2 linked regions of the Oryctolagus cuniculus genome follow. Each later gene encodes a partner of the first gene's protein in a complex. Links are inferred from orthologs where the notes say so. Each region holds a gene or a part of one and is shown on either strand. Other genes may lie near its edges.

What was found. The genes of interacting proteins can lie anywhere in the genome.
Region 2: the proteins of SUMO3 (region 1) and SENP1 are in contact, whole or in part, in a crystal structure (PDB 6NNQ), measured with the Homo sapiens proteins. The link is inferred for Oryctolagus cuniculus from reciprocal best matches to the Homo sapiens genes SUMO3 and SENP1. Residues at the interface, in NP_008867.2 of Homo sapiens: Gln24, Ser53, Arg55, Gln56, Arg58, Arg60, Asp62, Gly63, Pro65, Asn67, Thr69, Asp70, Gln74, Glu76, Asp84, Phe86, Gln87, Gln88, Gln89, Thr90, Gly91, Gly92; in NP_001254523.1 of Homo sapiens: Gln440, Asp441, Glu446, Arg449, Leu450, Thr451, Lys455, Trp465, Leu466, Asn467, Asp468, Glu469, Asn494, Thr495, Phe496, Lys500, Arg511, Trp512, Lys514, Lys515, His529, Gly531, Val532, His533, Trp534, Gln597, Gly600, Ser601, Asp602, Cys603.

The regions. Positions count from the first base shown.
Region 1 is NC_091435.1:1,755,644-1,763,213, reverse strand, and holds the start of SUMO3 (small ubiquitin-related modifier 3), read right to left. Parts: upstream 4,630-7,570; 5' UTR 4,468-4,629; coding exon 4,447-4,467; intron 2,298-4,446; coding exon 2,169-2,297; intron 1-2,168. UniProt on the Homo sapiens protein: Ubiquitin-like protein which can be covalently attached to target lysines either as a monomer or as a lysine-linked polymer. Does not seem to be involved in protein degradation and may function as an antagonist of ubiquitin in the degradation process.
Region 2 is NC_091440.1:137,668,399-137,675,910, forward strand, and holds the start of SENP1 (sentrin-specific protease 1), read right to left. Parts: upstream 4,768-7,512; 5' UTR 4,468-4,767; intron 4,153-4,467; exon of another isoform or gene 3,969-4,152; intron 1-3,968. Other genes in the region: PFKM (ATP-dependent 6-phosphofructokinase, muscle type), read left to right, coding at 5,393-5,474, 6,021-6,143. UniProt on the Homo sapiens protein: Protease that catalyzes two essential functions in the SUMO pathway.

The DNA.
Region 1 (7,570 bases):
AGCTCCTGACAGCTGAGAACCGCGGACGACGGCCCCCGAAGCTTTCAGAGAGATCACGCCACGTACAAAGGACAGAAGCAGAATGAAGGGCGTAGGGAGGCGGAACACGGCACACTAACTTCCAGAAAGGAAGCCGAGTTTCAGCCCAGAGCGTCAGTGCAAAGGTTCACACGAGCCAAGGAACCTTCGGGCACGCGGCGTCGCCACACGCCGCACCCCACACCCCACGCGCTTCCTGATGGGGTCAGACGCTGGTCTCCACAAAACAGGCAAAGATTAATCCCAAGAAGACCCGGGAAGGCAGCAAAGGAAACTTCCAGAATGATTCCCACAGGAGCTCTGGGACGACAGCCATGCAGCCACCTCCCTAGCGGGGGTCCGGGTGGGGATGTGGGAGCAGCAGGCGGCCACGGAGGACGACCTCGCAGCGCAACATAGAACACAGAACATGCGTGATGGCTTTGCCATGGGCGCCTGCAGTCGCCCAAACCACCACCAGGAAAACAGGCGGTAAGAACAGAGCCAGCCCCGCCGCCCGGCTTCGGCTGCTCACAGGGGCACTCGCTCTGTCAGGGAACATGGGGCCAGAGCTCCCTCTCCCCGGGCACAGCTGAGAATAACCTCTATGATAGAAACCAAGCAGGGGCCGACGCTGTGGCGTAGCAGGTAAAGCTGCTGCCTGCAGTGCCAGCATCCCATGTGGGTGCCGGTTCGAGTCCCAGCTGCTCCTCTTCCAATCCAGCTCTCTGCTGTGGCCTGGGAAAGCAGAAGATGGCCCGAGTCCTTGGGCCCCTGTGCCCGCGTGGGAGACCTGGAAGAAGCTCCTGGCTCAATCAGCCCAGCTCCGGCCGTGAACAGGTGGGTGGAAGACCTCTCTCTGCCTCTGCCTTTCTGTAACTCTGCCTTTCAGATATAAATAAATCTTAAAATAAATAAATAAATAAGCCCAGGAGACAGGGAACAAACCGCAAAATTTCCCAACCCTGAGTGAAAGGGAAAGCTGAAGGAGTCGGCAGCGACGCCTCCCAGGGGCCAGGCTTCAAACGTGGGGCGGGAAAAGGCGGCAGAGAACTGTTGCAAAGCGTTTTATCCTTTAAAAAACCCAAAAGCGAGAACTACCAAACCAACGGAGCAAAACCAAACAGTAACAGTGGGGGCTAAGCTGCCGCCTGGGTCACCCGCCAGTCCCAGTCCCAGCTGCTCTGCTTCCAAGGCCGCTCCCTGCTAACGCGCCCCGGAGCAGCCGGTGACGGCTCAAGGACCGGAGTCCCTGTCGCCCACGTGGGAGAGCCAGGTGGCGATTCTGGCTCACTCAGGCTGGCTCAGCCCCAGCTTTTGCAGACATCGGGGGAGTGAAGTACTAGGTAGAAGCTCGCTCACTCACTCGCTCTCTGTTACCCTGCCTTGCAAATAAATAAATACACCAAAAAAAAAAAAAAAAGTAGCAATCACTATATTCTCAAAGGAATCAAGAAAGGCAGCCTCATGCTAAGTGTCAGCAGATGCTCTGAGCTGCCACTCAAAGGAACAAGCAACGGCAGCGCTGGGCTGGCGGGCTGGCAGGGCAGGCGCCATACAGGTCCCAGCACAGCCGTGAGTCAGCAAGGCCATGCAGTGGCAGGAATTCTGCAACGGACTGGACCGATGCCCATCTCCCCAGGACGAGCACGCTGGGCACGGACTGGAACGCCACGACCGTCGAAGCACAGACGTGTACGACCCATGAGCTGGTGAGACGAACGCTAGCCACCAGAAACGGCCGTTCTGACTGACCACAGGGGGGTGCTGCTGAGGCGGCTCGCTGTTTGGGAAACTGGGGGAGATCCATCATTTTCTCGCCGTTGCTAAACGAGCTGGCAAAGCACACTGCTGACGGGCAGAAGTAAGGCGAGGAGCGACGCGGGACCTGCCCGGCAGTGCATCGGAAGGCACCGGCCCCAGAGGGCGTCTCAGCAGAAGGGCCCGCCCGCGGTGAGCGCCACCTGTCCGTTTACAGGGGCACCGGGACGAGACCCCTGGGCAAGGCAGCCGGGGGGCGCCGCACCTGCCCCAGAGGGCGTCTCAGCAGAAGGGCCCGCCACGGTGAGCGCCACCTGTCCGTTTACAGGGCCACCGGGACGAGACCCCTGGGCAAGGCCCCTGGGCAAGGCAGCCGGGGGGCGCCGCACCTGCCGCTCGCAGTAGGCCTTCATCAGCTTGCTCAGTGGGGTGTGCCTCTTGATCTTGAACTGCACCACGGAGCCGTCCTGCCCGGCCACCTTCAGGTTGATGTGGTCATTCTCGGTCTTCACGCCCTCCTGCAGGGACAGGAAACACCTCTAAGGATCCGGCGCTCTCCAGGAGCTGAGGGGCGCCGGGCTTCACTGACGTCATGGCCACCACCTAACCGGCGCCTCCGTCCAGGCCCCTCCAGCAGGCGGCTGCTTTGTTTTGGCACAGAACGGACTTTCACCCCCAGCCGCTGGGCGTCCCGGGGGAGCAGCACGCCCGAGCCTGCAGGGCCCAGGAGAAGTCGGAAAACCCATCTTCGTTTGAAAGTCACTTTTACAAAACTAACAGAACCACACACTGCACGCAGCTGTGCGTGACTTCAGAGAAGCAGAAGGCAGTGTTGACAGGAGGGAGGGAAGCTGCGGTCCACGCGGCAGCGGCCAGGAGGGCCATGCGGCCCGGGCAGGTGCGGACACGTGCGTGGGGCTGCCAGCTCCCGGCCCCAGCCCCGCCGTTGCAGGCATCTGGGATACGCACAGGGCCGACGGGAGACCCTCTCTCTGTGTCTCTGACTCTCAAGTAAACACACTTTAAAATCTTTTTTTTTTTTTTTTTGACAGGCAGAGTGGACAGTGAGAGACAGAGAGAAAAAAATCTTTTTTTAAAAGAGGAAAAGAAGTCCTAAAACCAATTGCCCCAATTCATTGTGGTCAGTATTCTGGGGGGCAGAAATGGTTTTCCCATCTGACCACAAGGCTGCCTCCCCGCACGCCCACGCCCCACGGCCAGAGCAGAGCTGGCGTCCACCGGCAAGTTTATGCCATGGGCGAGGACCTGGGCCGGGGGGCCCTGCCCTGGGCACACGTTAGAGGCTGTGGCCAGATGCCGGCTTTCCTCCCTCACCCAAGCAGGGCCCGGCCAGGGGCTGGGCTCCAGCCTCCTCCCTCACCTGTGAAGGGGGCTGCTCACCTCTGACCCCAGCTGCAGCAGGAGCCCCAGGTCCCCAGCACGGAGCCCCAGGTCCCCAGCACGTGCTCAGAGACCGGAGCTTCCGCCTCCACCTACCCAAGGACTGCCGGCCTGACCCAGGGCAGCCCTCGGGGCGGGACAGGAAGGGGCCCACCCCAGGCCGGGACGATGGGAGCACCCTGGGACCTAGAGGGAGAGGGGGAGCACCCTGGGGCTGTGACGGGGAGGGGTGCACCCTGGGACCTAGAGGGAGAGGGGGAGCACCCCGGGACCGTGACGGGGAGGGGGAGCACCCTGGGGCTGTGACGGGGACGGGGAGCACCCTGGGGCTGTGACAGGGAGGGGGCGCACCCCAGGGCGGCGACGGGGAGTGGGAGCACCCTGGGACTGTGACAGGGAGGTGGGCGCACCCTGGGACCTAGAGGGAGAGGGGGAGCACCCTGGGGCTGTGACGGGGAGTGGGAGCACCCTGGGACTGTGACAGGGAGGTGGGCACACCCTGGGACCTAGAGGGAGAGGGGGCGCACCCCGGGGCCATGACGGGGAGGGGGAGCACCCTGGGGCTATGACGGGGAGGGGGAGCACCCTGGGGCTGTGACGGGGAAGGGCCGCACCCCGGGGCCGCGCTGGGAGACGGCAGCACATCCGGGGTCGCAGCGGGCTACCGACCCCGGCTACTCCCACTCTCTCAGGAGAGGGGCCACCGCGCGGGAAAACCTGGACGGAGGACGGGGCCACGCGAACACGCCCTCGAGGACGCGCGCCAGGGGGCGCACAGCGGGGGCGGGGCCAGGAGGCGGGGCTTGGAGCGGGGCTCGGGAGAGACGCTGTCAGGGCGGGGCTTCTCGGGGCGGGGCTATGACGTAAGAGGCCCGAGACCAGAAAGGGGGCGGGTCTCCGGGAGAGACCTATTGGGGGCGGGGCTAGGACGGGACGGGGCTAGGACTAGAGGGGCTCGAAACCGGCAAGGGGCGGGGCTCGAGAAGCGGAAGGGGGCGGGCTCGGGGAGGAGCTCCGACGGGTGCAGAGCAGGGGCGGGGCTCCGGGACAGACGCTGTCGGGGCGGGGCGAGGACGGGGCGGGGCGCGCCGCGGAGCCCGCGGTGGGGGAGGGGCGCGGAGGCCCGTGGGGGAGGGGCGGGCGTGCGGCGTGGGCCCGGGCGCGGGGCTCGTGGGCGCCGTGGCCACGGCGGGTGGGGACGGGGCCTGCCAGGAGCGGAGGCGCGGGTGCCCCGGGGCGGCGGGCGGCGGGCGGGCCGCGGCTTACCTTGGGCTTCTCCTCGGACATGGCTGCGCGCGGTCGCGGTCGCGGCGGCGGCGGCAGCAGCAGCGCGAGCGGGGCAGTCGCTCTCCGGGCCGCCGCTCTCCCGCCGCAACTGCCCTCGGGGCCGCGCTTTATCCCTCAAATCCCGGCGCGCCGGTTGGCCGGGGGAGGTCACGTGGCGGGCGCGCGTGCACGAGGCGCGCGCCCTGGGGCGTCGGGCGCGCGCCCGGGCGGGCCGCGGTTCCCGGCGGTTGGAAGTGCGTCACGGGGCGGGTCCCCGCGCGACCCCGCAGTCTGGGCGCCCGGGGGCGCGCGTGGGACCCGGGGCCGCAGGCTGTCGCGGGTGCCCGGCCCCGGGGACGCGCAGGGAGTGCACGGCTGGGGGAGCCCAGGGCCCGGGATCGGGCTTGGGGGCGGGGACGTGAGGGCCAGGCCTGGGCTCCGGAGTGGCTGCGCTGACGTGGGCAGGGTCAGGGTCCAGTTCGGGCCTCGGGGCCCTGGAGCCACCTGCAAGTCCCCTTGGGAACCCCCCGCCCGCGCGCGGCCCCAGGCCTCTGAGCTGTGCAGGCCGAGGCCAGGCCACGCACCCCCCACTTCTGCGGGGCTGCATTTCTCTAGGGGGTAAAGGAAAGGCGGTGGGGGGGGCTCGGGAGAGGCCCTTCCCCGACTGGAGGGGACCTGTGTCCTCTGTCCACATCACGCAGGCTTCTGCAGACAGGGCTGGGGTCACCAGGTCCTCTCCTCCCGGCCACTTCCCTGGCCGGCGCCTCCTCTGGGGCGTCCACTCTCCACCATGGGGAGCCCCCTCCCGGTGGTTTGGCTGACTTCTAGAATGCTGTCCACACCTAGTCCTCGCAACAACCCATTCACGTATGAGAAAACCGAGGCGGTGGGAGGTGAAACCACAGGCCGGGTGTCACCACGGGTGGGAGCTCGAGCACCTGGCCGCGTGGCCCATGCAAGATGGGGGCCCACGGAACCGCGGAAGGCACGCCCACCCCCGACCTTAATCACCTCGGATGGAGGGGCCGGTGGGCGGCACCAGGATGAGCCGCAGCCCAAGGCTCGGAACCGTTTCCATCCTGCCTGAGCAGGCCAGCAGACAGGTGCCACTCACCTCCTGGTAACGCTGCGGAGCCGCAGGGCATCTCCCAAGCCCCCTTCCACCCTCAAACGTCTGGGCAGGGCCACCATTAAGAGCAAAGGTTACTGGGGCTGGGGCTGGGGCTGGGGCTGGGGCTGAGCCTCCGCCTGCAGCGCCGGCATCTGTGGGCGCCTTCAGTTTCCAGCGGCCGCTCTTCCGATCCAGCTCCCTGCTGTGGCCTGGGACAGCAGCAGCAGGCCCAAGTCCTTGGGGCCCTGCGGCCATGTGGGAGGCCGGAAGAAGCTCCAGGACCCTGGCTTCGGATCGGTGCAGCTTCGGCCGTTGCGGAGAGAAGCAGCAGATGGAAGACTTCTCTCTGTCTGCAATAAATAAGTAAAATCAGAGAGAAAAAGACTGCTGAAGTCTGGCCGTGAGAGGTGCGCCCAGACCCAGCTTCCCAGCCCACAGGCTCCGGGTAGGGCTTGGTCTCTTCTGGCGCCCGGCCCCCTGCTGCCATGGTGGACGGTGTCCAGAGACCAACAGCACAGCCTGCGCTAGAGACGCCATGACCTGTGGACGATCACATGTCCTTACCCCCCCCCCGACACAGCTGACTGCGGCAGGTGGTGGGTGGAAGCCACATCCCGGTTTCTGGGGCTAAAAGCAAAAGTTTGCGACCCAGACACAGCGCCCAGAGCTGTTAGAACAAGAAATTAGTTCACATAATGTCACCACTGAAAGTGACGTCACTGATAACCGGAAGGTCTTCTCTGAGAAGCAAAGATCCCAGAAAGAGGAGGGAGGATTTCCTTTGAGGTATTTGGTGACCAGCAGCAAGCTGGTTACTCAACTCGGGCTGCCTTAAACACACACACACCCCATCACGTACCACACAGCACACACACGTACCACACACCACATCCCGACACACATCCCGTACCCCACATGCACACACACATCACACACCCCCTACATACACACACCACATACACACACACATCCCGTACCCCACATACACACACCACATACACACACACCACATACACACACCACATACACACACCACATCCCCCACACACATCCCGTACCCCACATGCACAACACATCACACACCCCCTACATACACACACCACATACACACACCACATCCCCCACACACATCCCGTACCCCACATATACACCCACATCACACACATACCACATCCCACACACACCACATACACACATACCACATGTACACATCACACACCCCACATACACACACCACACACCCCCTACATACACACACCACATACACACACACCACATATACACATCACACACCCCACATACACACACCACATCCCCCACACACATCCCGTACCCCACATACACACACCACACACACACATACCACATCCCACACACACCACATCCCCCACACACATCCCGTACCCCACATACACACACCACACACACACACACATCACACACCCCCTACATACACACACCACATACACACATACCACATGTACACATCACACACCCCACATACACACACCACACACCCCCTACATACACACACCACATACACACACACCACATCCCCCACACACATCCCGTACCCCACAAACACATACCACACACACACACACATCACACATCCCCTACATACACACACCACATACACACACACCACATCCCACACACACACCACATCCCACACACACATCACACACCCCCTACATACACACACCACATACACACACACCACATCCCCCACACACATCCCGTACCCCACATACACACACCACATACACACATACCACATCCCACACACACACCACATCCCACACACACATCCTGTACCCCACATACACACACCACATACACATACATCACAGACACTCCACATACATACATACCACATATACACATCACACACACCACATACATATACACATCACACATACCACCCGTACACAAACACATCACATACACACATACACCACACATATACCACATTCCCCCCACATGTCTCACACACACATCACATACCACATA
Region 2 (7,512 bases), on another chromosome or scaffold:
TGATGTAAAGTTCCAACATAAATTAGGCACAGTTACAGAGTAACAAACAATGAAACAGAACAATTCTACCAATATACTACAAGAAAAGTACGTGAATATGGTCTCTCAAAATACAGAATAATCAAGGGGCAGGTGTTGAGCCACTGGGAGTTAAAATGCCACTTATGACAATAGCGTACCATATCAGAGCACTGGTTCAAGTCCTGTCTACTCTGCTTCCAATCCAGCTCCCTGCTAACCTGGGAAGGCAGTGGAAGATAGCCCAAGTCCTTGAGCCCCTGTCACTATGTGGGAGACCCAGATGGGAGTTCCTGGCTTCAGCCTGGCCCAGCTCTGGCTGTTGTAGCCAACTGAGAGTGAACTAGCAAATGGTAAAAATCTATTCCCCACCCACCCCGGCCCACATGCCCCTCTTGGTTGTTCTGCCTTTCAAAGAAACAAATAAATATTTAAAAACATAGGAAATCTTTCCCTTAATGTTTCTGGACCAGAGCTGATCATGGGTAACTAATACTATGGAAAGCAAAACCTTGGGTAAAGGGGACTGTTGTACAAAAATACTTTCTCTTCTGATGTATTCACTTTTTCCAGAAAAACAGAAGTGAAAAACCTAACTTCTTGAACCTAGGTTAATAGATGTGCCCTTGGCACATTGCTTCTTGGAAGAGACAGCACACCTGCATCTATACAGGATCTCAACAGCCTCTGTGAAAAGGATGGAGCACGACCTCATCCTCACACCAGTCCTAGGGCACCAATGTCGCTGACGGGACGGGTGTGCTTCATGGTCGCCATGGCGAAGGACACGCACAAAGGGAGGGTGACAGCCAAGCACAGTTATCACCACCTCATTACCTAGTCCTGCCAGACAGGATCCCCACAGAATCTAGGCCTTAGATTTAGGCTTCAAGTGCATTTCCAAATGTTCAACCTAAAAAAAGGCTTCTATGTGTAAATTCTCCAGGTCATTCTTCCCTTTCTCTCTTCTTTTAATGGAGAATTCCCTGGGTTCCACATTAAGGGAGAAAATCACATCAATCAGTAAATTAGTGCTTTTTCCATGTTTCACTCTTTCAGGTCACTTCAACTTCTTTGTGTTTTTTATTTTTTTTATTAAGAAGATGCCAATCTAAAAGTTTGAAGCCCAGCACCACAATCCAATGTTACTGCCCTCTGCATTTTGCTGACATAGATGTGAAGACGAAAGCAAGTTAGAAACCCAGAGATTATGCCCAAAAAGGTTAAATGAGCCATCTGAAGTCACCGAGATGGAACCAAGGAAAGACCCAGGGAAAATGCACATTTCCAACCTCACACTTCCTTTCCTTTAACCCATCCTCATGCAAAGACCGTATAGTTTGCAAGTAATGCTTAGCTAAACCTGGGACTCCACACCGATTTATCACTTTAAACAATTAAAGCCCTACATTTACAGGGTCATACAAACCTATCTGGCTTCTCTAGTGTGCCATCAGTGGTTCATTTTTGCCAGTTTACACTTAAATTGGGAGAGGGAGTATTCACCCCAAGAATTTCCATGCAATGCTGGATCTGGCACCTTTCAGACCACCAAATGCTTTCAAGTATAAGAATTTTCCCCAGGGGCCGGTGCTATGGCATAGCAGGTAAAGCTGCCACCTGCAGTGCCAGCACCCCATAGGGATGCTGGTTTGAGTTCCCGCTGCTCCACTTCCTATCCAGCTCCCTGCTAATGCACCAGGGAAAGCAGTGGAGGATGGTCCAAGTCCTTGGACTCCTGTACCCATGTGGGAGACTAGGAAGAAGCTCCTGGCTTTGGATCAGCCCAGCTCTGGCTGTTGTGGCCATTTGGGGAGTGAACCAGCAGATGGAAGATTCTTTATCTTTGTCTCTCTGGCTTTCGAATTAAATTTTTTTTCCCTCGGGACCAGCACTTTGGTATAGCAGGTTAAGCCACCACTTGCAGAGCTGGCATCCCATGTGAGCTCCAGTTTGAGTCCCAGCTACTCCACCTCCAATCCAGCTCCCTGTTAATGTGCTGTGGAAAGCAATGGAAGATGGCCCAAGTGCTTGGGCCCCTCCCACCCACATAGGTGTCTTGGTAGGAGCTTCTGGCTCCTGATTTTGTCCTGGCCCAGCCCTAGTTAATGCAGCCATTGGGGAGTAAACTAGCAGATGGAAAAATCTTTTTCTGTGTAACTCTCCATTTCAAATAAATACGTAAGTTTTTAAATAAAAAATTTTTTCTCTTAAAAACAATTTTAGTAATTTCCTTGTACATACTGATCATTTAATTTACTGAAAGGATGTAAGCGGCCGGCGCCGGCATCCCAGGTTCTAATCCCAGTTGCTCCTCTTCCAGTCCAGCTCTCTGCTGTGGCCCAGGAGGGCAGTGGACGATGGCCCAAGGGCTTGGGCCCTGCACCCGCATGGGAGACCAGGAGGAAGCACCTGGTTCCTGGCTTTGGATGGGTGCAGTGCGCCGGCCGTGGTGGCCATTTTGGGGGGTGAACCAATGGAAAATGGAAAACCTTTCTCTCTGTCTTTAACTCTGCCTGTCCAAAAAACCAAAAAGGATGTAAACAATTACAGTATTTGAGGTGAATCAGATTAGAAACTGAGCAAAAGATAATTAATTGAGGGCCGGCGCCGCGGCTCACTAGGCTAATCCTCCGCCTAGCGGCGCCGGCACACTGGGTTCTAGTCCCGGTCGGGGCGCCGGATTCTGTCCCGGTTGCCCCTCTTCCAGGCCAGCTCTCTGCTGTGGCCAGGGAGTGCAGTGGAGGATGGCCCAGGTGCTTGGGCCCTGCACCCCATGGGAGACCAGGAGAAGCACCTGGCTCCTGCCATCGGATCAGCGCGGTGCGCCGGCCGCGGCGGCCATTGGAGGGTGAACCAACGGCAAAGGAAGACCTTTCTCTCTGTCTCTCTCTCACTGTCCACTCTGCCTGTCAAAAAAAAAAAAAAAAGATAATTAATTGAAAATCTAAAAAATGATACAGTTCTGACTGTAACATAATGTAAATGTACAGGAAAACATGTCTGAGTTCACACAAAGAGGGGATTACAATTGAGACTGTTTAGGCTATAATGAAGTCAGTCGAAAACATGTACTTAGGGCAGGCACCGTGAAATCCACACTACCCAGGACCAAGATGAGGCTGGGACAATTTAGGGTATCACTCTACCCTGGGAAGCAACTGTGTGTATGACACTGTACCACACCCGCCCACCTCGGTCATCTCTCCCAGTTGGCCCCTAGCATCTTGAAGGTCCTAAGCACTGGCTATTTAACATACACGGACATAACACTGTGCACCAGCTGCACGGGCGGTTGCGGGGGACACCAACAGAGCAAGGACAGGTCTCTGCCTGGGAGAAGCCAGGGACGGTGAGGCGGGGCCTTCCTAGGTGCGCAGGTGGGGGACTTGCGGGGCCGCAGCCAGGAGTTACATCACCGTAGCCAGAAGCAGCAGAACCTGTTTGTGTGCCATCCACCCCCTGACTTCACCCCTCAGCGAACAGACACCAGTGGGGTAATTAACTGAACAGGCAGGAATGAAGCTTCCACGACGCAGGGGGAGGGGTCGGTCCCTCGGCCGGGGGAAGGTGAAGGGAGCGCATCTCAGCAGAGGCTCGAGACCCCCGAGTCAGAGTCGGCGCGGCCAAAACCGAGGGGATGGGGAGCTCTCCCCCGCCCGGAAGAGCCCACGCCAACAAAGACCCCGGCCAGAGTCGTGAGCCCCCACCCGCGGCTTTCGGTAGATTTCAAGGAATCACCACCGCCCCCGGACACAATGCGTGAACTCCACGTGAACCGCAACAACTAACGAGGCTGACTCCAAAGTGATAAAGGAGCCGGCTACTGCCGGCCAGATAGTGGGAATCCTGCAGAGGCGCTGATAAGCAGAAATCACCAAGCTCGGGACCTGCTCGGATCCGGAGGGCTCACGTCGGGGTCGCCGGGGAGGCGGCGCCCCAGGAATTACCGGGCGGCGATGAGCCGGGTCAGCGGGTCTCCCGCCTGGGCAGGGGCGTCCGGCGTCTCTGTCTGGCGGCGGCACTAGCGGTCGCACATCTCGGGGAGGGACCGCCGGGCAACCGCGCAGGGGAGAGGCGCGCGCGGCACGCACGAGCAGTCGCGAGCCATCACTGGGTCAAGGCAGGCAAGAGGTGAGCGGGGGCGCGCCGCGCGGAGCGCCCCGAGGGAGGAGCCCCGCTCCGGCGGGAAAGCCCCACCGGGGGGCGGCGCCGAGTGGGGCCGCAGTCGGCGGCGCGGCGCGCGGACCCCCGGCCTCGCGGCGCCCGCGAACCGCCACCCGCCGGCCCGCGGCGCGCCAGGGGAAGGGGCGCCGGGGGCGGGGCCGGGGGGACGCGCCGGCCCGACGCCGCCTCGCCCCCTCCCGGCCGGGGCCAGGCGGCCCGACTCGGCCTCGCGGCCCAGCTCCCGCCATCCTCCCCCTCCCCCTGCTTCCCGCCGCCACTCACCGAACCGGAACCGGCTGCTATGCGAGGGGGTTTCCGGCCGGTCGCGGGACGCAAAACCCGGGAACCTCCGCGAACCGGAACCGCTTTCACAACGCCGGAAGGCCCGCTGGCGACAGCGGCGGGGGGGGGGGTGTCAGCGGGCTTCGGGGCCCGCGGGACGCCTGCGCGGTGCGGCGAGGCCTCGGAAGGCGAGGGAGCGTTGACTGCTGCGGTCACGACTTCCCTGCTGCCCCCTGCTTGTGCTGTTTCTCTTCCTCAGGCTCGGAATACTTGGCGCGCCCTTGGTCCTTTCTTTTCTCTGTCCCTCGGCCCCCTTACCCGCCGCTCTCTGGTTCCGCCCCGCCGTCCCGGCTCGCGCTGCGGTTTCCATGGCAGCCCGTTGGCGGCCCGGGTCTGCGGGAACTTGCGGGCGGCTGCCCTGAGAGGAGGGGACCCGGGGTCCCGATAGGTCTCAGTTTGTGGCGGGTCCCGTGGAGGCTTACAGAGCGTGCGCACTCGAGAAGAGGCAGTCAGAGCTGGCTGAGGCTAGCAGGTTCCTCACTTGGCAGCGCACCGCGCTTGATTAAGTCGGGGGCGCGGGGGGCGCTTTGGGGGCGGCCCTGGCGGCGTGTGGAAACGCAGGCCTGCTTTCCTGGGTGGACCCGGGCCTTCGCTCCGGGAGCACACTGGCTGACCTGCAGCCCGTGCCATGCTGAGGGGGTCCGCTTGTTGGTTCATTCAGACTGGCGGGCCTTGCCTGACCAGGCCTGTCCCGCGGTGCTGAGGCGGGCTGGTGAGGGCCACCTGGCGCGCCAGTGTCTGGATGGCTCCACGCTAGGGCCTCGTGCCGGTACCGTTGGACATACCTGCTCCTGCCAGTCATGGACACCTAATCATGGCGCGATCTGCTCATTTGGACTTAATTCTGTCTCTCTAGGAGACAGCCATGCGTGAAGAGGAATTTCATCTGAAATTTTTCATGTGTGTGATTCGGTCTCACCAGGTAGTCAGGACTCCTCAAAGCACAGGTACCTGAGTCTCCTGACGGTGCTCCTGCGCACTGCCTGGGTTCTTGGATGGGAGTCTCAGAACAGGCGTCAGGGGCAAGTGGCCAGGTGTGTTCCCTTGTCTTACCTTTTCCTAACACAAGCACCTGCATAAGTGTGTGGATAGGCCCAAGCAGGTAAGGAGGATTTGGGAGCTGAGAGAGAACCAGAGGCAGAGCCCACGAGCTGGCTGTTGGCTTCTGGGTCCTTAGTCTAGGCTCACCTCTGGGAGTCCCAGTTCCCACTGTCATTGACACCCCAAACCTGTAAAGTCAGTCAAGCCCCAAGGAAAAATGACCTCTTCCTCGGCAAGTATCTGGCTGTGTTCTGCTTTTCCCGTTTATGTCAGAGGGATAGATTGCTTTGGACGAAAGATGGTTGTTGAGAAGAGTCACTGCTTCTCTTATTTTTCACTGGATTTATGGAAAGAGTGTCATGGACAGCTGAGAGTCAGAAAATGAACGGGAGGAAGGAGTGCTCCTCCCTGAGTCTCACCTCGAGGGTAACCCAGGACTCTTTGCTTCTCAGCTGCGGAAGCTTCGACTTCCAACAGGCTCATACCAAGGCCACCACCCAAGACAGATGCCTCCCAGAGTCTGTACACTGATGATGACCCAGGCACCGAGGAAGGCATACCTCATCTTCAAACTGGTGAGGCATGCGGGGAAATGAGGGGTAGCAATGTGCAAAGGAGTGTTGGAGAGTGAGGTACTCAAGCGCGGGTGGTCAGCCAGGGTAGACCTACCAAACTCGAAATAAGAGCTAAGACACAGGGAGAAAGTGTGAGTGTGTGAGAAAGGGGAAGAGAGAGGTCGTTTGGAAAACTAGAGAAAGGAACACCCACCTCAGGAAGCACAGGTTTTTTTCCTCTTTACTGCATCAGTTGTCCCCTCATCTGTGAGTTGCTGGTTGGCTTCCCGAACTTCCGTCAGCAAGTTTGATATACAAGCATGTGAAATATTATTTTTAGTTAATGTTTATTTATATATTTATATCTACTTGAAAGGCAGAGCAACAGAGAGAGATTGAGAGGGAGAGAGAGAGAGCTTCCATCTACTGATTCACTTATCAAATACCTGAAACAGCCTGCCTGAGCCAGGCCAAAGCTGGGAGCCAGGAACTCTACCCAGGTCTTCCATGTGGTTGGCAGGGACCCAAGCATTTGAGCCGTCACTGCTGCCTCAATGTTGAGTTCACAAGCAATTTATATTAAAGCTTAGAAACAATTCTTTTTGATTAGGACAGGGCTTGTGGTGCAGCAGGTTAAACCACTGCTTGGGATGCCACATCCCATGTTGAAGAGTGGTTTGACCCTGCTTCCAATCCATTGCCCTTCTAATGTACACCCTAGAAGTAAGCAGGTGATGACTCAAGTACTTGGGTCCCTACCATCCACACAGAGACCCAAGTGGAGTTCTAGGCTCCAGACTTTGTCCTGGCCCAGTCCTGGCTGTTGTGGAAATCTGGGGAGAAAACCAGCATATGGAAGAACTCTTGTCATTCTACTTTTTATAGTGGATGAAAATAAGTAAATATTTTGAAAGTATGTGTATATCAGAATCAGTTGACTGCAGACATGTGTTGAATTCCCTCTGTTGTCTCCAGTAATACACTAGAAGTGATAGTTTATGATGCATGTGGTAGGCCTGCCCTTGTCATTGTTCTGATGGTTTACCTTAGAGAATATTTAGTTCAACTCTTGTATTTTCAGAAGGAATTTAGGACTAAAAAGGTCTTCCTTGAGATTCAGCAATTTCATTAATCACTCCCAGCACCTATTAAATATATAACAGTATTTGCTCATAATTTTTAGCATTTGTCATTTGAAATCATGACTGGGAGAGCTGGTGATCAAGGAAAGGAAGTGGAAGGAGCAATGTGTAGGGTAAGAGCTTGGGAACATTGGTTCACAATGTTGAATTTCAAAACGAGATGCTCTAGAGATGGAGAGAAAGGAAGGGCTTGTTTGTGGAGGCTGGCACTGTGGTCCTGCACAGTCTGCATTAGTACAGTCTCCTTA